Linked DNA regions of Caenorhabditis elegans. The protein of the gene in region 2 purifies or fractionates together with the protein of the main gene of each other region. This does not show direct contact. Each region holds a gene or a part of one and is shown on either strand. Other genes may lie near its edges.

Region 1 (9,113 bases), 1.6 Mb from region 2:
TTAAATTTCAAAAAAAGTCGATTTTATTTGGAAATTTTATAGAAAAATTTAGGAAAAACCACCAAATTTTGCAATTTTAACTCAAAAATCTGCCACAAAAAGTTCAGAATTTCACGTATTTCACCATTTTTTTTCGCGAAAATTCGTAAAATACCGCAATTTTCACCGAAAAAATCCGGGGTTTCACAGGATTTCCATCAAAAAATTGCTTCAAAATTGCGAATTTTTGGACCAAAAAATGCCGAAAAAGTGAAATTTTGTTCCGAAAAAATGGATTTTTGCACATTTTTCAAGCTTAAAAACCGAAAAACGCCGGCGATTCTAGTCAGAAATAGGATTTTTTGGGAAATTGAGAAGAAAAAACGAGAAATTTTGGTGAGAAATTAGGAATTTCGAGCGTTTTTTTTTCAAATTTTGGAAAGAAAAATGGCTTGCTCAATTTCAAACAAAAATCAGATTTTTCGGAATTTTCTTTAAAAATTCAAGTTTTTTGGTAAAATTAATAGGAAATTTCGTATTTTTTCTTTGAATTTTTAGAAGAAAAATGCGTTAAAACTGAATTTTTTGTGCGAATTTTTTTTCCAATTTTTCTAGAAAAATATCTAATCTTTCGGAATTTTCTGTGAAAAATTCATATTTTTTCTGTAAAATTACTAGGAAATTTCAGATTTTTTCGCTGAATTTTTTAGAAGAAAAATGCGTTAAAAATGAAGTTTTTGAGCTAATTTTTATTTAAAAAAACCGAAAAAATCTAGATTTTTCATAACTTTTCTGGAAAAAATCCAAAAAAAATTTGAAAATTGAAAAATCCTATAAAAACCAAATTTTTCTGAATTTTCAGATTTTTTTTGAATTATCAGGAAAATTTTTTTTTTTTTGCCCTTTCAAACATTTTTCTCAAAAATTCAAAATTTCTGTGCGAAATTTTCAATTTCAATATTTTCTATCGAAATTTAACGGGCTCCTGTCCATCCTTAAGCTCCGGTGGCCATTCCAAATCAACTTTCTCCACATCCAGCTCCAAAATATCAACTTCTCCGTGCTCAACGTCAAGGAGCTCGGCAAGCGAAGGCCTCGTCCTTCCAAAATCTCCGTGAACAAATTCCTTGATATATGTTCCTGCTTGGGTCTCGAGACGAACTTCAAAGTGGTGATCGTCCAATTTTAAGAAATTCATCGAATAAATCCATCGTTCTCTGTCGAGTAGAGCTCGACGCTTCATCACACGAACTGGCGTCTTTTGAACAATTTTCAGCGGGATTTTCGATTGAGCAGCGGTGAATTGGGAGTCAGAAATTGGGAGAATACTGTAGCAGTAGGCACAATATTGCTTTCGTTTGTCTGCAAAAAATTTTGAGATTAGGCATTATTTTAAAGGATTTTTTTTCTCCATTTTTTTGGTAAAACTCTAATTTTTTTTGTAAAATTGATATTTTTGCTGAAAATTTGGATTTTTTTTTTACAGAAAATTTCATAAATATCTGCAAATTTTGGGTACAATCCGTATTTTCGGCAATTTTCCAGTCCAAAATGCTCCAAATTTTCGGATTTTCTTAGTTTTTTTTTTCTTGTTTTCCAGAAAATCGTTCAATTTCTCCGACTTTTTTGGGTACAAATTGTCGGTTTTTCTTGAATTTTTTGCCGAAAAATCCCTGTTTTCAGCTATTTTTTTTTGTCCAAAATGCGTTAAATTGTCGGATTTTCTTGGTTTTTTCCTAGTTTTTACTAGTTCAATTTTCTCCGACCTTTTTGGTACAAATTGCCGATTTTTCTGGTTTTTTTTGTTGAAAAATCGTATTTTCAGGTAATTTTTAGGCCCAAATGCTCCAAATTGTCGGATTTTTTTGGTTTTTTTTGCTAGTTTTCCAAAAAAAAAAAAGTGCAATTTCCTCCGATTTTTTGGGTACAAATTGTCGGTTTTTCTTGATTTTTTTGCCGAAAAATCCCTGTTTTCAGCTATTTTTTTTAGTCCGAAATGCTCCAAATTTTCGGATTTTCTTAGTTTTTTTTCTAGTTTTCCAGAAAATCGTTCAATTTCTCCGACTTTTTGGTACAAATTGCCGATTTTTCTTGATTTTTTTGCTGAAAAAATAATATTTTCAGCAAATTTTCAGTTCAAATTGCTCCAAATTCCATTTTCTGTTTCCATAAAATTGTGCATGCACCTTCTTCTCCAACACACAGCTTCTCAGAAACATCCCGTGGAACTCTGGTCAGCGACACGACTTTCACATCCTTCTGTACATTTATAGCCTCCTGAACCGTCTTCAGTGTCTCCAAATACTTGATTCCTCTCACTGGAGCCGTCGTTCTACAATTTCGGAGCTCAACGACAAATGGGCGGCCGGTTCCGAGCATTCTGACGTCAATATCCTCACGTCCTGACGTCACGAATCGACTATCACTGGCTCCGAATTGCTTTTTCAGGAGGTCACACACTTTTTCGGAAACCTGCAAAAATTTCGAATTAAAAATTTTTGATTTTTTAGGGGAAAAACTCAAAATTTCAATTTTTTCGATTTTTTTTTTGTAAAATTTTGATTTTTTTTGTTGGTAGAACTCCCCATTTTTCATATAAATGTGAAAATTTTTCCGGATTATCGCGATTTTTTCAGTAAAATTGACATTTTTCTTGAAATAATCGATAGTTTTTAGGCAAAACTGTAGTTTCCGGTAAAACATTCGATTTTCCTGAAAATTTCGATTTTTCGTCAAAAAATTTAGTTTTTTTAAAAACTTTTTTTTTTGGTAAGAAATGATTTTTTTGGTAAAATTTCGATTTCTTCCAAAAAAAATTGGTATTTTACTTGGAATTTTTGAAAAATTTCGAAATAAATTTTATAAATTCCCTAAAAACTAAAAAAAAACCGATTTTTTTGGAACTTTTATAGAAAAATTTTTAAAAAAGAAAAATTCAATTTTTTTAAATTTATAGAATATTCTAGAAATATTTCACCGAATTTTTGCAGAAATTAGGGGTTTTTTTTTTTTTTTTTCTTGGAAATTTTCTTGAAATTTTGCTCAGAAAACTTGAAAACTCAAATTTTTTTTAGATTTTTGAGGGGTCAGAACATCAGAATTTAATTTTTTTTTTAGTCAAAAAAATCTTAACTTTATTTTGCAAAAAAAATTCACATTTCTAGATTTTTTATTCGAAAAAAACTGAAATTTCCGAATTTTTTTTTCCAAAAGGCCAGAAAATTCAAAAAAAAATCTGCATTTTTCCCAGAAAATTAGGGGAAAATGAAATTTTTGTAGTAAATTCAGAAAAAGCAGAAATATTTCTTTAGAAAATTCCATTACAAATCTGAAAATGCAGATAAAAAATTGGAATTTTTTGATTTTTCCAAAAAATTGTCCCGGAAATTTGGCAGGATAACTGGGTTTTCTTCAATTTTTCGCCTGGAAATTGTCGAAAATGTGTCTAATTTTGGCCGAAAAACATGAAAATTCTAAATTTTTTAGAGATTTCCGTGGATTTTGGGTAAAAATTTTGATGTTTTCTAGATTTTTTCATTAAATTTATGTTGATTTTTTATTTCAAAAGCTCCAGAAAAAAGGTTTTTATAGATTTTTTAAAATTAAACAAAAAAAAACTTCAAAAATTGCATTTTCAGAGCAAAATTTCATTAAACAGTCGAAAATTTGTTGAAAAACTCGCATTTTTTGGGTAATTTCATTTTAAAAAAATCCGGGAAAAATCAAATGAGATTTTGTCGATTTTTTTTAGTTCTAAAGGCTCGAAAATTAGTTGATTACGCTGAATTTTCAGCTTTTTTTGAAGAAATTTCACCGGAATTTTATGAATTTTCCGATTTTTGAAGGTTATTTCTAGATTTTTTTCAAAATTTAAATTCCAGATTTTTCAAGTTTCAAGTGGAATTTTCTTCAATTTTCCATCAATTTTCCATCAATTTTCCATCAATTTTCCATCAATTTTCCACTCAAAAATCGAACCGAATTTCCGGGCTCTCTCGGAGCATCTTTATCCTCACTCCACGGTGATTGTGGTAGACATCTTGAATATTTACAATATCTTCCAGCAATGTATACTGGATCTCGTTCGAATTGAAGTTGAAATGTGCATTTACGGGTTGGCGATTTGAAGATGTACTTTCTGTAGAGAAAATATGGATTTTTTTGGGGAAAATTGGTGAAATTTGGTGAATTTTAGGTCGAAATCGTCGTGAAAATTCAGATTTTTTGACGTGAAAATTTTCAAATTCACACAATTTTTAGCTGAAATTCAGATTTTTTGGGGAAAATTGCGGAAATTTGGAGAATTTTATTAGGTCGAAATCGTGAAAAAATTGCGGGAAAATTCCGATTTTTCAACAAAAAAATCGGATTTTTTGGATTTTTTGTTGATAAATTTTGGAATTTTCGCAAAAAATTCGGAAATTTCATGTAAAAATTGTCTTAAATTTTCTATTTTTCGCTCTAAAATGGGCCCTTAACGTTAAATATGAAATTTTCTAGAGAAAATAGGCTTTTTGGGCTGAAAATTCGGTCGAAAATCGGCAAAAATTGGAGTTTTTGGCAATTTTTAAGGCAGTTTTCGATTCATTTTCCAACTTTTTATTGATTTTCAGGGCATAAAATTCTGAAAAACTGCAATATTTGACAGGTTTTTGCCTGAAATTGTGAAAATTCGGAGAAAAAAAAGGAAAAATTGTTTAAAATTTGAAAATATTGATTTCCGCTCAAAAATGCATTTTTCTAGTTAAAATGTGGGGTTTTTCCACGATAAATTTGGAATTTCCGTTAGAAATTATATTTTTTCTTGGAAAAATGGCTTCAGTATTTCAAAATGTAAGTTTTGAAGGTAGAAATTGGAGTTTGAAGCAACAATTTTTCAACATTTTCCAAGTTTTTATTGACTTTTGAGGGTATAAAACGTTGGAAACTCCGAATTTAGCGAAAAAAATTGGTTTTTTTTTTTGTTTAAAAAAATAGTTTTTCTTGTTCAAAAATTGTAAAATTCAGTGAAAAAAGGATTTTTATGTGGGGTTTTCAACGATAAATTTGAAATTTTCCGTTAAAAATAACGAACAAAGAGTTTTTTTTTGGAATTTTCATCGTTTTTTCGCCGAAAAAATAGCTAAAAACTTTTAAAATTCAAGTTTTGAGCTATTTTTCAGACAAATTGTGGAAAAATAGCTTCAAAATTCAATTTTTAAGCTGAAATTTGGTCCAAAATCGAGGGTTTTTGACATTTTCCAACTTATTAAACCCATTTTTTGTGCAAAATTTCCTATTTTCTCGTCGGTTTCCACCGCTATTACTTTGCAATTTGCTCGTTAATCCTGCCAGTGACCTGCTGTAATTGCTGTTTTGATACACTCGACGGCGCTTCTTGATTATTATTATATCTTCCACGTTTTCCAACACGAAAATCGTTCGGAAATTGATTTTGAAGAAATTGTAGATCCGAAAAATTCGATTCCTCCTGCTCAAAAGTGATCATAAGCTGGAGATCTGAGCTCAGAGTTGGTCGTTTTCCGGAATACTGCAAATTTTATTAATTTTTGACTCAAAAAACTCTAAAATTGGAGTTTTTGGCAATTTTTAAGGCAGTTTTCGACATTTTCCAACTTTTTATTGATTTTCAGGGCATAAAATTCTGAAAAACTGTAAAAAATTTGAAAATATTTCAAAAAATACTATTATTCTGCTCAAAAGTGCAAAAAATGTGTAAAATTTAGCTAAAAACGGATTTTTTTTTGCTCAAAAATGCATTTTTCTACGATAAATTTGGAATTTCAAGTAGAAAAATTCCAAAAATGCGATTTTTCATATTTTTTCCTAGAAAAATGGCTTCAGTATTTCAAAATTTAAGTTTTGAAGGTAGAAATTGGAGTTTGAAGCAATTTTTCAACATTTTCCAAGTTTTTATTGATTTTTGAGGGTATAAAACGTTGGAAACTCCGAATTTAACAAAAAAAAATGGATTTTTTTCGTGGAAAAGTCGTTTTTAGGTAATTTAAGCTTACAGAGCCCAATTTCTTCAAATATCCATCAATATTTCGCACTTTATACGGAACAGAAGCCAGTGTCCCATTGAAATCCGGTCGGAGACGGCTTACTAGAATCTCCCTGTCAAAAATTTAAATTTCGAGTTTTTGGCGGCGGAAAATCAACAATGATTCTAAAATCACCTTAAAGTCTGTCCAACGGGCAAATTCAACGCCAAAATGAAGCTCATCGAGTCGTAGGGCAGCTTGGAGAGCTCTTCTTGCACTTTTTCGCCGACCTGAAGCATTTTTATGGATATTTTGTATAAAAATCGTGAGTTATAACCTCATCAATCATTGCCTGATCCATAATCCCGAAGCAAAGCTGACATTCGAAAGAATTTTCGCATTTTGTCACTTCCTCCGCGTCTCCAGAGATTTGTCGCACGCAAACTTCGCACAAAACTAGCGGAGTTTTGTCATTTGACATCTGAAATGTTGAAAATTAAGTAAATTTATTGAAAAAACAAAAAAAAATCGAGAAAAACCGAGCATTTTGAGGATTATAATGAGAAAAAAGAAAAAAAAACTCGAACAAAGAGGAAAACACAATAAATTCGAGATGTGTGCATTTGCGCGTCACGGTGTATGCACAGAAATGTCTGCCGTCTCTTCAATTGCCACACTGTTTCGTTCAGTTGCGAATTCAAATTGATCCACAATGAAACATTTTTTGCAATTTGGAAAATATTTATATGGAAAAATATAATTCATAAATTCGCAATTCTCCGAAAATCATAATTAATGTTCAACTAATTAATTAGTCTCTATAGAGAGGGGTCCATGGAGAGGTCAATTTTCAATCGAGTTTTCCCGCACAGCTACTGTTGAATTCTTGTATAGACGGCGATATCGTCATTCGATTTCATGCCACATTATGGACGATGGCACATTTCATCTCGAATTCGGAACGTTTGACGGTAGTCGAAGAGTTCCAACATGTGAATGGAAAATATCAAAAATATTTGGCACGCGAGGATTGATAGATCATTTGATGCAGTTGCTGAAAATATCAACAGTTCATATGGTTGATATTGCCGTTACATTGCAACTCACTTTCTAAAGTTCACGCAAACAAACTTTGATGGATTGAAAGTTGAAGAGGTAACAATTGACGGAGCAACTAGGATCAATGAATTACTTGAGAAACTGCCTCACGTGGAGAATGTATCATTGTGGTCTGAGGACGAAACAAATGTAACAAGACAAAATTTAGTTGGACTTCAAAGCGTTCTTCGTCTTTTTGTATACATTCCTGTAACACTAAATGATTTGCTAGTAATGGATAACCCTTCACTTAAATGCGGGAAAACAATTTTGTCTGAAAAAGATTTGACTTTAATAATCAAACACTGGAAAAATGGATGGAATCCAGGGTTAAACTTCCTGGTCTATAAGTTTGAAAGTCAATCGCCGCACTCGAACCCATCCTCAATCATGAAAGATTTATCTGAGAAAATTGTATTAGAAAATGGTGAACCAGCTTTTATAATTCAAAACATTCATGGAACCACACGAATGGTTGAATTCAGTTTATTTGAAAGAATGATGGCGGGATACGTTGCAGTTCGTTCAACACTTCCTACTTATATCAACTAATATTAATGTTTACTTTTGTTTTCAATCTGTTAATTATTTTTCATGTATTGCATTCTCTTAAATGGTTTAATAAATTCTGATTTTTAAAAACAGTTTGTACGTCCCTGGTGTTCAATGTGTTCAGTCGGTACCAGTGTTGCCAGTCATTCTTATTCTCTCCGAGCATTTGAGATCGATATTTCATCATTCTGATATGTTCAAAATACATGGTCCAAAAACAGTCAACTTAGAGAAAAAGCTATCAGAATTGCCACTGAAATGGTAAAAATACAACAATTTGTATAATAACAAGATATTAAAATTGGACAACTTATATATCGCCAATTTAATTTTCTGGAAACCTCCCTAATTCTAAAATTTTAAAATAAAATACATACGAATCATCAACGTTTCCTTTTTGCTCAATTCAAATTTCATAACCAACAATATTTAATTTCCGTTTCCACCCCCACCACCTCGTTTCCGGGCTATTTTAAATCGTAAGCTGATCAAAAACCACTAGGTGATAAGGTTTTTAAGGCTGAAAATATTTGTATATTTTCAGCTCCAAAATAATAATATTCCAGATTGTGTTTGCTACAGAAACAATACCGAGAAACGGATGAAAAAACTATGTTTTGAGGAAAAACAACACGAAAGCACGTAAATAGGTAGGTATGTAGGTAGGCAGGTAGGCAGGCAGGCAGGTAGGTATGTAGGTAGGTAGGTAGGTAGGTGGGTAGGTAGGTAGGTAGGTAGGCAGGCAGATAGGTAGGGGGCAGGTAAGCAAAAACATTTACATTTTTCTGACAAAACGGAAATAAATCTAGTGCTCAATTCAAGTTCCGCTACACTTTCCCACCACGCAAATAACGTATTTTCAACACTTGGTAACCTCATTAAATTAATTGAATAATATCAAAAACATGCCCAACTTTCCAATGAGAAACTTGTTATTTTTGGGTATTTGTTATTCAAGATATTAGGTTTCTCCTCAGCTTTTTCATATGCTCACATTGTTTTCAGCTGTGCTCTTCACTTGGCATTTTTTTGGCATTTTTTGGAGTCTGGTTTTTTTTTGTAATTTGAAAAACTTTACAATTTTTTGGAGTTCTCAGTTGAAGTTCACTACAATTTTTCCTTTTGTTTTTTTTCCTTGTGAGGAGATTTAAAAAAAAAATTTCAATGTTTTGAGAGAATTTCAGAAAATTCACCAACTAGGTTTTTCAGAAAAGTTATAATACATTGAAATATGAATTAGTGCTGAAAAAGTGCTAAATTTTGAAAAATGAAAAAAAAAATTTCTTTGAAGTTAAAAAATTAAAAAAAAAATGTTTAAAAACGAAATGAAGCAAATAAATGGAAAAAAAAGAAAAAAAAGAAAAAGAAAAAAACGAAAAAATAATGATTTTTTTAATTTGAGAATTTTTTAAAAAACATGTTAAAACGAAAAAAAAACGGAAAAAAATAACATGAAAAAAAAATGGTTTTTTTTATTTAAAAAAAAAGTTAAAATTGTTA
Region 2 (7,326 bases):
CAGTTTTGTCAATATATTATCAACAGCCGAGTGGGTGAATGCTGCCAGAAGGACCTTCTTGTTTGTGGCTACCAGACATTGAATGAGCACAGAGATTAGAGTCGTTTTTCCAGATCCTGGCAGGCCCTCCACCATCATAAAATCTTCAGTTGCCAGGGCGTGAACTACAGCTTTCCGTTGTTCATTGTTCAGCTTTGCCTTGATAATGATTTTCTTGATGGCTGGAGTTAAATTAAAACCAGTAGCATCCATTATGATTGGAGGAAGCAGGTCGACGAGTATATTTCTTAGTCGTTTTCTGGAAAAAAGATAATGAAATTAATAAATCAATAAATTTTTTAAATACCCAATTTCATCATTTTGCAATAAATAAACCAGGTTTCCGAGTGTCGTGGAATGAGTGCTCATACTTGTGTATTTATCCAGATGGAACGGAGCTTCATAGCGAGATTTTATAGTTTTATCGGTGGAAATTTTGACAATTTGTTGATCATCTGATACTTCATCAATCAACGCGAATCCAATAGCAATATGCTTCTTATTCGACAACAGACAGACATCTCCCGGGCGGAATGTAGGGGTATTTGAAGATTTCAAAAATTTCCGCGAGAAACTGATGATAATCTTCTGCGAATTGGACATTTCCTCGGAGACAGGATGCAGGTCAGACAGGCATGTTCCTTCTTCGACTCTTTCTTGAACACTTTTGAGCCAGAGATCCTTGTTCTGAGAAGTCATTCGCTCTCGTTCGCACTTCCATTCTGCTGAAATCCAGCGGATCCAATTTGCAGCGTATTCTATGTGATTCTGCTCCAGATGAGCCATCTCATTCTCGGCGAAATTCTTCATTTTATCGTTGGATTTCGAGAAGTTCTCCTCGGTTTTTTGATAGAATGAGCACATCGTCTTGTGATCACATTTGTCGCAAAATCTGCTGTCTTGACGTGGATCTGGAAGATTTGATGTAGTCGGATCCTCAAAGTGTACTGAAAGCTTGTTCCGTTGCTGTAGAACGCCTAGAAGATCTGCAGCCCGCGGGGTTACACAATGGGAGGCGCCGTCCTGAAAATTGTTTTATTTATATTTTCCATAAGTTTATAGGTTAAAAAAAGCTAACTTTAAGGTATAGAATATTTCCGGGTCCAATAGGCTGCTCGTATCGAGACGACTGCATCATACAGTAGAGTAGAACCTGACCAGTGTGCTCACTGGAGCAACTGCTCTTGCCAGTTTTCAACTCCAAAGATTCCATTCCTCCCCTCGACTTTGTTCGCATCGTCACATCGATCTTCCCCTTCAAACCAAGCTTTGAATCCCATATATTCTCCTCAATATCGTACACCTCGAGAAGCTCCGATTTTGACGGCAGAGGCTCGCGTTTCGAGAAGAAGCTGTTAGAAAGTGGATAATGTTTATTGATCCAGCCACAGATTATCGAAAAGTAAGGCTGTAGCTCGGCGTCCAGACAGCTTGGAGTAAAGGAGAGCGCCACAAGCTCTTCGGCATACTTTGGAGCCTGCTTGTTCCAAATTTTCATCAAATCGTTTTCCATTACAGGTCGCTTTTTGCTCGTGATTGCTGTCTGAAAGAAAAAAAATTGAAATGTTTTTTATTTTTATTTTTCAGTCCGCCTTACAAACCTGGAATATCTCGTGCATAATGGTTCCGAGAAGCATTGCTTTGTTCGAGGCATTTCCAAACTTAAACTTGTCGTTTAGCACCGTTTTTCGAGCACAAAATGTGGCTGAAGCGACGGCTGTGCACGGGACAAGTGCGTCTGGATTTAAGATCACGATTCCGACGTCATCGTTGACAAGGAAATCACGATCTCCCCATGCTTGAGCTCCGATCAGGTTAATCGTGGATCCTGCTTCAATGCTCATTTCCGACCAATGATCCTATAAAATAAATTTTATTTAAAATTCAAGATTATATTTCTACAAAAACCTGTAAATAGACTATCCTAGTCGTCCCTTCTTTGTCTATACACTCCAAATCTAGACAATCGTCTCTTTTTTCACCTTTTCGAGCTGTTAGATGTATCACATTTTTATCGTCGAAGAGGCATGGGAATCCAGAAACTCCGCTATCTGAAAAATAAATCAATAAATGCAAAATCAAAAAATTTTAATGAATTAACCTTTCGGTAAAGCCGGAGGTTTTGAACTAATGACTGGTGCATCGAACGAATCGTCATCGTCGCATTCTTGAAGTTGTATCCTTTCACTTCTCGACCTCGGGCTGATTTCTGAAAAAAAATTTGAGGTTTTTTCTGTTGTTTAGAAATAAAAAAAAATATTCTTGAAAACTCACTTTCTTTTGGAGAGGAAGCTGTCGGACAGAAGTTCTCGAACGAGTCAACGCTGTCTCCATCATGCTCGGTTCCTGAACCAAACCTTGAATATTATAAAATATTCCAATATCTTCACAATACCCTTGAATTCCTCTTTTAGACGTTTCGGCTCGTGTGATTCTGAATTGACATTTTGGAGCTGTCTTTTGCGAGACTCCATCCCCAAGAGATCTGAAAAAAGTCTTATTTAGTGACAATTGTACGCTTTTTTTTGAAAATCTATTAGAAACGTTTATTTATAACAAAAAAAACCAATCAAAAACAGGAAAAAGATTTCCGAAATCGTGAAAAAGCTTTTGTTTTTTGAAGCACGCGCGCTCTAACTCTGCGCTCTCTCTAAAATGCACACTCTCTCTTTTGTTTAAAGGCACAGAGGGGTCTCCACTGCAGTGGTCTCGCATGGAACAGCGATTCTGGCTGCGAAATACGAGGCAACGGGCGGGCGGGCAGCAGACATTTTCCAGCTGAAATCGATCGTTTTTCGTCGTTTTTCTTGAAATTTGCGGAACAAAATGTTGTCGGAATCAATTTTAACAGTATAAATACAATTTTTCTTCTATCAAATGCGAAAATTTGCTAAAAATGAGCCATAAATCTTGTTTTTCTGTTTCTTCAATGTTTTCCTTGATATCTCTGTAGAATCTGTTTCAATGTGTATATTCAGATTCTAAACTCGGACTGCCGGGTATGGAAGAAGTAAAAAAGTATGGGAAAACTCTCGAAGAGATCGAAGGAGGGTTGATGTTCGGTGAGAGCTAAACTATTGATCAAAAATCTATTGATTATTTGTTGCAGATGACTTTCCCGAATCTCTGGTGGATAGTGACGAGGATCACAACATTTTCGACGACGAGTTTGATGCAGCCAACGATGAAACATTCGGTGGAGGCTTGGACAATATCGGCGAAAATGCTGAGCTCGAGAACTATGCGACACAGGTATATACTTTTGAAAAATAATCAATTGGAATCATATTATTTAAATTTCAGACTGCGAAGTTGAGGTTCGATGATCCTGTCTGGCAAAAACCCTCATCTTCGGATCACGTTGCTCCAAGCGCCTCTGAAATTCCGATTCCTTTTCCAAATTTTGGAAATGGTGATGCCAGCGACTCGTTTAAATCAAGCTTTGAAGCAGAATCACCGTTTTTGGTTTGTTTAAAGTTATTTTATTTTAAATTAGAATATATTTCAGAAAAAATCGATTTGGGGAAACGGGACCGATGGAGCATATAACATTTGGGGTACCAATTTCGGAATTTCTTCAGTACCTGCAGCTCCTACACTGGATCTTGATTTCGGTGCACTTTTACCAACTCCGACGATTCAAGCAACAAAGGAAGTGAAATCATCTCAAATACCTTCTATGCCTAGTTCAGCTTTAACGGTTTGTTTCATAATGTTTGAATCTATCTTCTCATCATCAAATTTAAGCTTGAAGACTGCGAGAGAATGCAGATGGGAAACAAACCGGACTCGTTGGTAGACGCTTTCAAGGATCTGCAACTTGGAAGCACTCCAGTACAACCCCAATCCGCACAATTCTCAAAGCATCCTCTTGAAGCGAGAATTGCTGCTCCTGGTACCCCGGCAACGGCATCAAGCCAAGCTCTTCCCACTCTACCTACCGCAGCTCTTTCATTAGAAGAACTCGAGCTACAAATTATGAAAGAAGCCCAAATTTTGAAAGGCCGACAGCAAGTTCCGTCAGATATGCGAGAAGATAACAAATTCTCACATCCACCTCCGGGATTCAATCAAAATGTTCAACCTCGTATGGATCCGTCGTTGTCTCCAGGTGGTATGCACGGTATGCCTCCATCGATGGGAACATCTATGCCACATATGGGACCAATGATGCCACCACAAAACATGCAGCTGCCGAGACTGCCGCCACTGAATCCACAGTTTCTACCGTTGATTCCTGTATGGTTTAATGCAATCATTAATAACATTCAGTTACCAATGGGGGTTCCACCGCCGCCACCATTTTTGTTTCAACTTTTGAATCATTATCGCGTAAGTATATATGATACTTGGTTCCTTATTTGTAAAAACAATTATTTTACAGAATCCTCAGCTCGTTCACGCTATGATCATGCAGTCTTCGATACCTCCAAATATTAGGCAAAATGGTCCACAATTCAGTCATCCTTCTGGACCTCACAGTCCAGGAAACAGAGTTCAGCGTAAACATTCTGGAATGCCATCTACACGGACAATATATGATCTTGCCCTTGATTCTTTCGCTGGTTACATGTCTTACAAGGAACGTGAATGGCTCATTAGAATCCAATTTATTCAGTGTAAGGGTTCTGGTGATCCGCAAGTCGATGATTATTACTATGTGGTAGGCTTAAATATTCAGAGTGTTTTATTAAAATTAACATTTTAAAGACATGGCGTGATAAGCAAATAGCGAACGGGTGGACTGCCGAAACCAAGTTGGAAGAAGCTACTAAAGAGAAGAAAGAAAAGTCGTCCGAGTCACAGAAGGATTATCTTGAACGTATCAGTCGAATGAATTATCGAGAGATGCAGAAAGAGAGGGCTCGTGAACGTGACAAGGAACGACAAAGAGAACGTCAAGAACGAATTGATCGTGGAGAAGACAAAAAGTTGCGGCAGACACTTTCAGACAAATTTGCAACAAGTTTGGGTTTGCCATCAAAATCTTCTACCCACAACCCGCGCCATGTTCTCGATATGAAGGCTCAAGTAGAAAGCGTGGACAATCAAACAAAGAAGTTGTCGGACGAAGAAAGAAAAATCGCCGTTGCGAAGAAACTTCGTACGATGCTTCTACGTTTAGAAGGAGCATTGAACATTCTGATGGAGGTTGATGAGCTTCGACGATCATCGCTGCCTGAAAAGTCGCAGTTTAAAGACTTGAGCAGGTGTGTATATACTGTTTCTGAATATTTTTTTGTAAAATCTTATTATTTCAGCGATGAGAAAGACCAAGAAGTTGAGAAGCGTACGACAGTTATCATCAACGAATTAATGGGGGATGACTTGTCTAAACTCATGCAAATGTCCAAAGGAAGAGCAGTTATTACGAGAACTCTTAAAGTTGTTGAACCAAGAGACCAAGCAAGAATTATTCTTGCATTGATGACGGCTGGTGGACTTGTGAGCAAGAAGATGTATGGAGAGATCGTTCTGGACATTCTCCCAGTTGTTTATCAGAAAGTCTCAAATCTTCATCCCGACCAATTCAAGTATCTTGTTGGAGCTCTTAACTTGGATACTCTCAAGAGGCAACTTTTGGATAGTAACATGGTAACGATAATTTTTAGAAATTAATTAATTTTTTATTTTTGTTTTCAGTTCATCAGGGACATGATGATGACGTTGTTCTTTGTCAGTGTCAAGAATAATCAACAATTGGTGGAGTGGGCCAAAGCTACGAAGTTCTCCAGCTTAAAAATGCCTTCAAGTGCTCCACTCAGTATCTGGAGAAAGGCTCTCAGCGTCATTAGCGACAGCGAGATCAAAGAATTTGCCGATGATATCAAGTACTCAGGAATTGTCGATTGCCATGATGTCGCTCAACTAATCGAGCAATCACTCTAATTTATTTTAAACATCCTAACCAGAGAGATGACCTTATTGTGACATTTTCCTCTCAACCCCTAATTTTTTGCATTTCCCAAAATTGAACTCACCCCCAATGATCCCCCATACGGCCCTACTGAATCATTCCGTCCGTTTAGTATCACATTATCACTTTGTCTGTGAAACTTGATGTTGGTTCTTGTCACATGCTAACTTATCCCAAGCTCGATATTCGATATCATTATATATTGCGTAATATACGTGTCTAATATTCTCTCCTAATATTACTTTATTTAATATTGTATTAGGTAAAAAACATATATTGTAATCCCACCTCACAATTCTTATTTTGCCAAAGAAATATTCATAAATATTATTATTTATTCATTTATTTTAATGATGTCTTTGTCGAGTAATCGGTTTTCTTTCCGGTATTATTTTCTAAATTCTGTTCTCAATGTCAAAAATTGTTTCCAATCATTCCGTTTTAGATGGCAGACACCGTTCGTGGAATTTGGCAATCAATCGTCCAAACCAAGAGACTCTACCTCAACCCACACGAGCATTTCGGACGTGCCAACATCTGCCGTGCCGCCCTCTTGAGCTACGTTGGGATGTACTACATGTTCAAGTGGAACCAGAACAGAAAGGTAAAGCGTTTCCCTATTGTTATTCTCAAAAAAAATTGTTCATTTTCAGGCCGAAATTGCCCGCGCCGAGAGAAAAGCTGCCAAGGCCATCGCCAACGTCGCTGCTGCCGCCCCAGCTCATCACTAATTCAGTCGGATGCACCTAGATTTGGTTTAATTTTCTTTTATTGGACAATAGTTTTGTCCAGATTTGTCGGTTTATGTAATGCTATGTTCTTTTGAATAAACTACCCGATTCGAAAACGTTCGGCAAAATTATACAATATTCTGTGGATAAAATAAGGCAACTAGTTTATATTCAGGTTTTTCAGAAATTCTAGGATGTTCTGTTGAGAAATTGGAAAAAAAAAAATAATTTCACTTAGTGAGAAAATAATTTCCGAGTTTCAGGATCTTTAAACAATTCAACCATACTTTTGCTCACACGCTTAATATCGTCCTTCTTCATCTGATCATATGCTCTGAAATTTAAAAGTTAGTAAAAGGTGTCAAATGACAAATCCCGTACTTTCTGATGCAGAATGATCCATACTGACATTTATCTTTGTTATTCCAGATATTCGATAAACCAAGGAAGGAACCTTCCTGAAAAAAAGATGGCGATGAATTTAGGGTTCCGGTGAAAGTTCCAAGTTTAAGACATTTTTGTTATGGAAACTCGCTTACTATTTTATTGGTGAGGTCGTGTTTAGAGAGGGCCTTGATCATTGCAGCCTCTTTTATTTGTGCTACCGTACTCGACACGCCAACAACTAAATAATTAAGT
Region 3 (6,810 bases), on a different chromosome or scaffold from region 2:
TTATCTTTAGAATGAGTAGAACTTTCTAAAAAATTTGTACTTTCAGATATGGAACAACATCTTAGCTGTCTACCACCAGATTTTCACCATGTTCTGTAAATATCCAGAATATGCAGACAAGGAAAAAATGGAAAGAATTGTGGAATATTTTGCTCCAGTTTCGAGAACACCAGGGCACCTATCTGTTGTCTGGAATCCAATGCCAAATGTTGTCAAGTCTCCACGGTCAGAAGAAATTCCAGAAATCAAAGTCGAATATGAAGAAGTTCCATCGTCATCTACCTTCTTATCTAACAACGAAACAACAATCGCAAGTGACATGGATATGTCGATTGATCGACCGCAAAGTATGGACATGTCGCAAACGCTTTCTCCAGAGCAAACGCTTTCTCCTAGAGAGAAGCTTCAAGTGCAAGATAGAAAGATCTCAACGACTCAAGAAACTCCTCCGGCGCTGCCATCACCATCCGGAACACTCACACTCCCAACAGTTCCAGCTTCGACATTAAAACGTAAAGAATTTGGTGACTTGTTGGCCTGTCCAACCGGCAAACGTGTAACTATTGATGAACCCAATCGAGCAGAGCGCACTGAGACAATTATGCCATCTAGACAAATGATGTACCCAATGGTGAATTACCAAGCACTTCCAATGGTAAGTTTTTTTTGAGAAAATGTTCGTCCATTTCAAAAACTTCTATATTTCAGCCACCACAATCAATTCCATCAATGATTCCCCCATTCATCCCTACGATTCCTTCGACGAGCACAATGCCTCCAATGATGCCGTATCCAAATGTTCTACTCACTGCTGCTCCGGGAGACGTTGCCCCAATCGATTCACTCACCCCATCATTTTTGAGAGCATTAGAGCAGCAAAAACTAATGGCAGCATTTTTAAATCACGCTTTTCAAAAATGTCAGAAGTAATTAAATTATTAAATGAACATTCATTGTTCTAACGCAATCTTAATAAAAACCGTATGCTTTCACAATTAGTTCAGGGTACTGTAGGACTGTCAACTGATAATTTTATAATCAATTTGTTTCTAGGGACTTACTCATTTAAATAATCGATTCATATATTGACTATCAACATTACCGGGCTCAGAAAATTTGAATTTTCTATGTTTTCTTTGTTTTCTACTTTATTGATTCTGTTCTGTTTTCACTTAACTCACATTTGAATTTCACAAATAAAAAGTTCAACAACGGAGTGTTCTTAAGGACACAGTTTATAAAAACGCGTGATTCCCCTCAACACTTTTATCTATTTCTGATGCTACAGTCGTCTTTGGTTTTTGGAGAATTGCCAGCAAGTCTAGAACATGTGGAATGGGGGAATAACTGACTTTTTGAACATGGAGTAGTGCAAAAATTAGCAGTGAAAACTTGCTTACCGTATACTATTTTAAATGAAAACGCATTGAAGAAATTTAAAATATAAATTTTATACGGTCATCGTAATTACAGATTAATGAACGGTGTTTTCTCACTTTTCACAAAAACCTGTTAGTCTTCTATAGGGAGTGGAAGTTTTTTTATTTTCCTCTCAATAGGGAATACCGTATGCTGTGAAAAGAAATATAGAATGAGTGATCCATTTTCTGAACGCTTATCAATTGGAAATTCCGAATTTTAAATAAAATGTTGCTCAATTTACTTTCGAGACAATTATTCTTGAATTAAAACTATATTTTGCGGAATAAAGTTGGCTTTGAAGTTACCTATCTTTGTGAAATTTAATTTTAGATAGGTCAAACTGTTTAATCGGACGAAATAATCACCAATGTATTTTTTACATTTTCCAGTTAGTGACGGTTCAGTAAAGCTCATTTCCACGGGATCGGAAAGTTTCAGAAACAACGCCTTTTTGCAAACATTAGCTTTTAAACATAAGTGTCTCAAAACTAAATTGGGCAGGTTTTTTTTCACAAACGCATCTAGAAAAATATCATTTCATATCTCTGGACACTAAAATTTTTTATCAGACAAGAGAAGGATTTACGGAGAACACTTCACTGCAAAAAATGTGAACTTTTGTTTCATCTCGTTTAATTTTAATCTGAAAATTTCCTGTGTGTTTTGCCATGCGTGTGAGGTCTTTAAAAATACCTTAAAACTGTTTTTTTTATGATTCTAATGGCTTGTGCGGATCAGTAAAATCTGAAAGTATTTTGGAGTTATTTTGGGAAGAGGTTTAGCTCCTGTCCTGAGCAACAAAGGAGATCTTTGACCAAATTACTGCCGTCAACTTTTTTGCCTACCTCTTATTTTCAGTTGCCGTCCTTTCCGCCCTGTCCATAAGACAGTGCCCTCCGCACACCGCGGTAAAATAATTTAATATCGCGCGCTACGCCTCCCGTTTCCTCACACTCTCTCGCTTATCCCATTGCAATTCTAGAAGACTGTTGTTGTTGACAGCGGCGGTGTTTCGCGCATTCTATGGTCCATGCCATTTCACGCGTTTGACAGTGATTTTATTGTCTTTATAACTGCGTTCGGTGAGTGAGAATATGCTTCCGTTCTTGCAAATCATTTTGAAACTTTTTGTTGGGCTCTTGTTCTATAATATTTTGATATGATGCTATTCGAATGTTTTTTTTTGAAGTGCGATTGTTCTTGCCGCATAATTAATTCTTTGTTTTTTACTTCAAATTGTTGACCAACACAACAAACGAATTTCAGTTTTAATATTCAAACTTGGAAAGTGAATAGCAAATGGATCTCTTATCCGTGAGAAATTCTGAACCTGACAATGAAAGTTATCATTTATTGGTTAGTTTGTTTTCTTTAAGCTTCTGAATTGTCAAACTATCATTTTCAGAATATGAAAGGTTTGGCAGAAAAAGTTAAAAAGATCGACATATCTATCTTTGACCGCAGGAGCTTGTTAAAGCGTGTAAAACATAGATCTTGTCATAAAAGAGCCGAGCCAGAGTCCGAAGAAAACCGCAAAAAGAGGTACAGGAAGGACTGCAAAGAGTATAGAGAAAGGAATCGTGAATATGCCACTTTCCAAAAACTATTCTTCAAAATAACAGCGATTGAACGGAGATTCAAGCAATTTATCGAGGAGATGTCCGTGGAAACAGTGGAAGTGAATATTAGATCCATGATCAAAGAGTGTGAAGACATTTGTTCCAAGTACACAAATATCGATGCGCCTCACAAAATTCATTGTGAAATTCCACATGTTGATGATTTTTTGGCATGTTTCCAAGAAAAAGGCCAAGCCGCCATGCTCGTCGACCACCATACAGAGCCTTCCAATTTTTACGCCCAAAATCTGCTTAAACTACGCGAGCAATATCACAAGCTCACAAGCCAAAAGGACAATATGAATTCTTCAAAGGAAAAAACCCGTTATGCATCGTCAAAGCTCGAGTTGAATCGCAGAATTGTACGGGAGCAATTGAAAAGTGATTGCTGGGTATGTTGGCAGAGCATTAATACAATGATGGTCCAAGGAGAACAGCTTCAGGAGTACATCAACGAACGGAAGAAATATGTAAGTTAAAACATGAATTAGGACAACTATGTAGAGCATATGTTGCTAAGTTTTCGCAAAAATTGACCCCAACACTTTATAGCAAATTTTTGGTAAAAGATTAGGTTTTCTACCTTATTTTATTTTCAAAACAATGATAAACTTTTACATTCCTCAAATAAAACTGCAACAGAAGCGTGTTATTTTTTCAGATTTGGAACAAAATCGTAGCAATCCATCACCTGCTTTTCATCACCTTTTCTCAACACGCAGCAGATGCAGACAAGGAAAAAATGAAAAGAATTGTGGTATACTTCGCGCCCGACTCACAAATACCACGTCTACTTTCTGCTGCCTGGATTTCGTTGTTGAAAAGTGCCGATTTTCCTTGGACAGAAGATATTCCAGAAATCGAGTTAGATTGTGAAGACACTTCCTTGTCGTTTTCCTTCTTAACTAACAGAAAAACAACTATCGCAAGTGAGATGGATGCATCGATTGATCGACCGCAAAGTGTGGACATGTTAACAACTTGTTCGCCAGAGTTCAAAGAAAAACTTCAAGTAGAGGATGTGAAGGCTCTCACTACTCATGCAACACCTACCGCCTTGCCGTCTCCATATATCACACTGACACGTCAAACAGTTCCAGCTTCAACTCTAGATCAAAAAGGAACAAATGATACCTTCAACTCTTCAAACAGAAAGCGTGCGGGATTCTCTATTGATGAACTTCTGCGACCAGATTCCACAATAGTAAATTTTTTGAAAAAAAAAACTATCGATTTGGAAAACTCTTTTTTTAGCCCACACAATCAACTCCATCAACAATACCGGCTTTCATTTCTACAACTCCTTTGGCGAGCACAGTGCCTCCAACAATGTCGTTCCCAAGTATTCCACACATTGCTACTTTGGGAAACGTTGCTCCAATCAATTCACTTACTTCGTCATTGAGAGCAATAGATCACCAAAGAGAAATTCCTGCCTCAACTTTAAAACGGAGATCCGTTTCTGATAGGATGAACGGATTGCCATGCAAGCGTAGAAATCTTCCAAATAGTGTGCCAATGTCATCACATGTAAATGGCTCCACCATGGAAGCTAAACCATTATTGTTTCCTGGTTGGAATTTACACCCAGCTATGGCACCTTCATTTGTTAGTTTAACAAGCAAGTTTTCCATAACTGAAATAGTCTTTTCAGCCCACACAATCAACTCCATCAACAATTCCATCATTCATCCCTACAATTCCTTCAACTACCCTAGTGCCTCGAATAATGTCGTTCCCAAATATCCACGGCACTATTTCTCCTGGAAACAATGCCCCAATCAATTCACGCGTTTCATCTTTGAGAGCAATGGAGCAGCAAAGAACAGTTTCTGCCTCCACTTTGAAACAGGAAGCCGTTTTTGAAATGGTGAACGGATTGTCATATCAGCGTGGAAATCTTACGAGCAATGGACCAATTCCCACACAATTCCGTGGCTCTAACATGGAAGCTAAACAGTCACGGTTCCCTGTTTGGAATCAACATCCTGCGATGCCACTCTCCTTAGTGAGTTGAACAAACATGTTGACCCTAACTGAAATAATCTTTTCAGCCCACACAATCAACTCCACCAACGATCCCAGCATTCATCCCTACGATTCCTTCAACGAGCTCAATGCCTGGAATAATTTCGTTCCCAAATACTCGACACACTATTGCTCCGGGAGACGTTGCTCCAGCCAATTCACTCACTTTGTTTTTGAGAGCAATAGAGCAGCAAAGAACCGTTCCTGCCTCAACTTTAAAACGGGAAGCCTGTTTTGATAGGGTGGACGGTTTGTCATACAAGCGTGGAAATTTTACGATCAATGGACCACTGCCCACACAACTTCGTGGCTCTAACATGGAAGCTAAACAGTCACGGTTCCCTGTTTGGAATCAGCATCCAACTATGCCACTCTCCTTTGTGAGTTGAACAAATATGTTGTCCATAACTAATATCAATTTTTCAGACACCACAACCTGTTCCATCAATGATTCCACCAGTGATCACACCGAATCCTTCAATGATCTCGAGGAGCACAATGCCTCTAATTATGTCGTATCCAAACATTCTACCCACTGCTGCTCCAGGAGCCATTGCTCAAATCAATTCACCAACCCCATCAACTTTGGGGCATATCGAAAACCATCAACTCATGGCAGCGTTTTTGAATAATGTTTCTCAAGCGTGTCAGAAGTATTAGAAGTATTATCAGAATAATTTATTTCAAATGTGTATTGGATTTTTATTGTTGAAAAGTAGTTTTATCTCAATTTTTAAATAATTAGCTTTAGATTAATTAGTTCCCACTCGAATTTCACAAATAAACATGTTCTTGTCAGCTCCATGTTGTCTACTCGCAATCTACTCGCTTTTTTGGAATATGCAGATGAATTTAGCAAAAATTGTGTGGATATCAAGTCTTATCAGCTTCGAAGAAAATTGATAACTCCAGCTTTTTCTGCTCACTTTCATAATACATATGAAAGATATACATATGAAGATTTAAAGAATTTGCAACAAGTCTGGAGAAATAAAAGTTGGAGAAATAGTAAGGCTGTGAGAACTTGCTCGCTTTCATCTGTTTAAGTTTTGTGCTCAATTTCAAAACATTTAAAAACATGAAAATGATTTATATTGTACTTTTTCCAGTCTTGCATGAAGAACTTATTCCAGGTTCATTTGTGTTAGAAAGCAGTGTGAGAGCAATAAAAATTATATTTATGGAAAACAATACCGAATTAATTTTGAGAAATTCGAGGAAATTTGTATCTAAAAATTAGGATTTCATGCTTTACTAAAAGAGGAAATACAGTGCTACATCCTCATAAACCAACTCATTAAAAATGTCCATAATCCTAACCTTCTTTTATAAATTATTACTTGCTTAACAAAATCTACGAGAGTTTTTTCAATTTTCTGAATGATTTATTAATGAAATATTTTTGAATAATAGAAATAATACAAAATCGAGCGTTTTGCCAGTAAATGTTTAGTTTTTCATAATACAAAAACAGTTACTCAGACAAACCAAAGCATAGAAACATCCTGATCGCAACTGTTGTGGCCGTGAGAACAATAGAAGCTAGTCAAAACCACGATTTATTGATGAGGTTAAAAAGATGCACTTCCGCTGGACCACTTCTCAACACTCTCCTCATCAGTTTAGATTTAAGGAATCCGGAGAAACTCTCTCGGTTCGTCAACTCCGGTCCTCCTAGAACTTTGTTGACTCCGAACAATTCCTTTCAAATTGTCTACTCCGGTCTTTTCCGATCTTCACT

What was found. The genes of interacting proteins can lie anywhere in the genome.
Region 1: the proteins of patr-1 (region 2) and Y48C3A.20 fractionate together in Caenorhabditis elegans (co-fractionation; one large-scale study listed by BioGRID). This does not show direct contact.
Region 3: the proteins of patr-1 (region 2) and K09E3.7 fractionate together in Caenorhabditis elegans (co-fractionation; one large-scale study listed by BioGRID). This does not show direct contact.

The regions. Positions count from the first base shown.
Region 1 is NC_003280.10:13,366,938-13,376,050, reverse strand, and holds the start of Y48C3A.20 (tRNA pseudouridine(55) synthase), read right to left. Parts: upstream 6,445-9,113; coding exon 6,301-6,444; intron 6,254-6,300; coding exon 6,159-6,253; intron 6,097-6,158; coding exon 5,994-6,096; intron 5,510-5,993; coding exon 5,286-5,509; intron 4,118-5,285; coding exon 3,958-4,117; intron 2,452-3,957; coding exon 2,166-2,451; intron 1,342-2,165; coding exon 944-1,341; 3' UTR 1-943.
Region 2 is NC_003280.10:11,773,635-11,780,960, reverse strand, and holds patr-1 (Protein PAT1 homolog 1), read left to right. Parts: upstream 1-3,017; 5' UTR 3,018-3,040; coding exon 3,041-3,101; intron 3,102-3,148; coding exon 3,149-3,291; intron 3,292-3,342; coding exon 3,343-3,504; intron 3,505-3,547; coding exon 3,548-3,739; intron 3,740-3,786; coding exon 3,787-4,371; intron 4,372-4,423; coding exon 4,424-4,702; intron 4,703-4,749; coding exon 4,750-5,249; intron 5,250-5,300; coding exon 5,301-5,634; intron 5,635-5,682; coding exon 5,683-5,928; 3' UTR 5,929-6,297; downstream 6,298-7,326. Other genes in the region: dna-2 (DNA replication ATP-dependent helicase/nuclease DNA2), read right to left, coding at 1-298, 347-1,062, 1,118-1,582, 1,641-1,898, 1,948-2,090, 2,141-2,248, 2,314-2,385, 2,435-2,513; F44E5.1 (ATP synthase subunit e, mitochondrial), read left to right, coding at 6,402-6,560, 6,610-6,687; F44E5.15 (N-acetyltransferase domain-containing protein), read right to left, coding at 6,922-7,021, 7,069-7,145, 7,227-7,312. UniProt on the Caenorhabditis elegans protein: RNA-binding protein involved in deadenylation-dependent decapping of mRNAs, leading to the degradation of mRNAs. Acts as a scaffold protein that connects deadenylation and decapping machinery.
Region 3 is NC_003284.9:17,130,404-17,137,213, reverse strand, and holds K09E3.7 (BZIP domain-containing protein), read left to right. Parts: upstream 1-2,682; 5' UTR 2,683-2,721; coding exon 2,722-2,778; intron 2,779-2,827; coding exon 2,828-3,511; intron 3,512-3,702; coding exon 3,703-4,245; intron 4,246-4,295; coding exon 4,296-4,649; intron 4,650-4,695; coding exon 4,696-5,049; intron 5,050-5,095; coding exon 5,096-5,449; intron 5,450-5,495; coding exon 5,496-5,729; 3' UTR 5,730-5,866; downstream 5,867-6,810. Other genes in the region: cnp-3 (Calcineurin-interacting protein 3), read left to right, coding at 47-655, 709-930.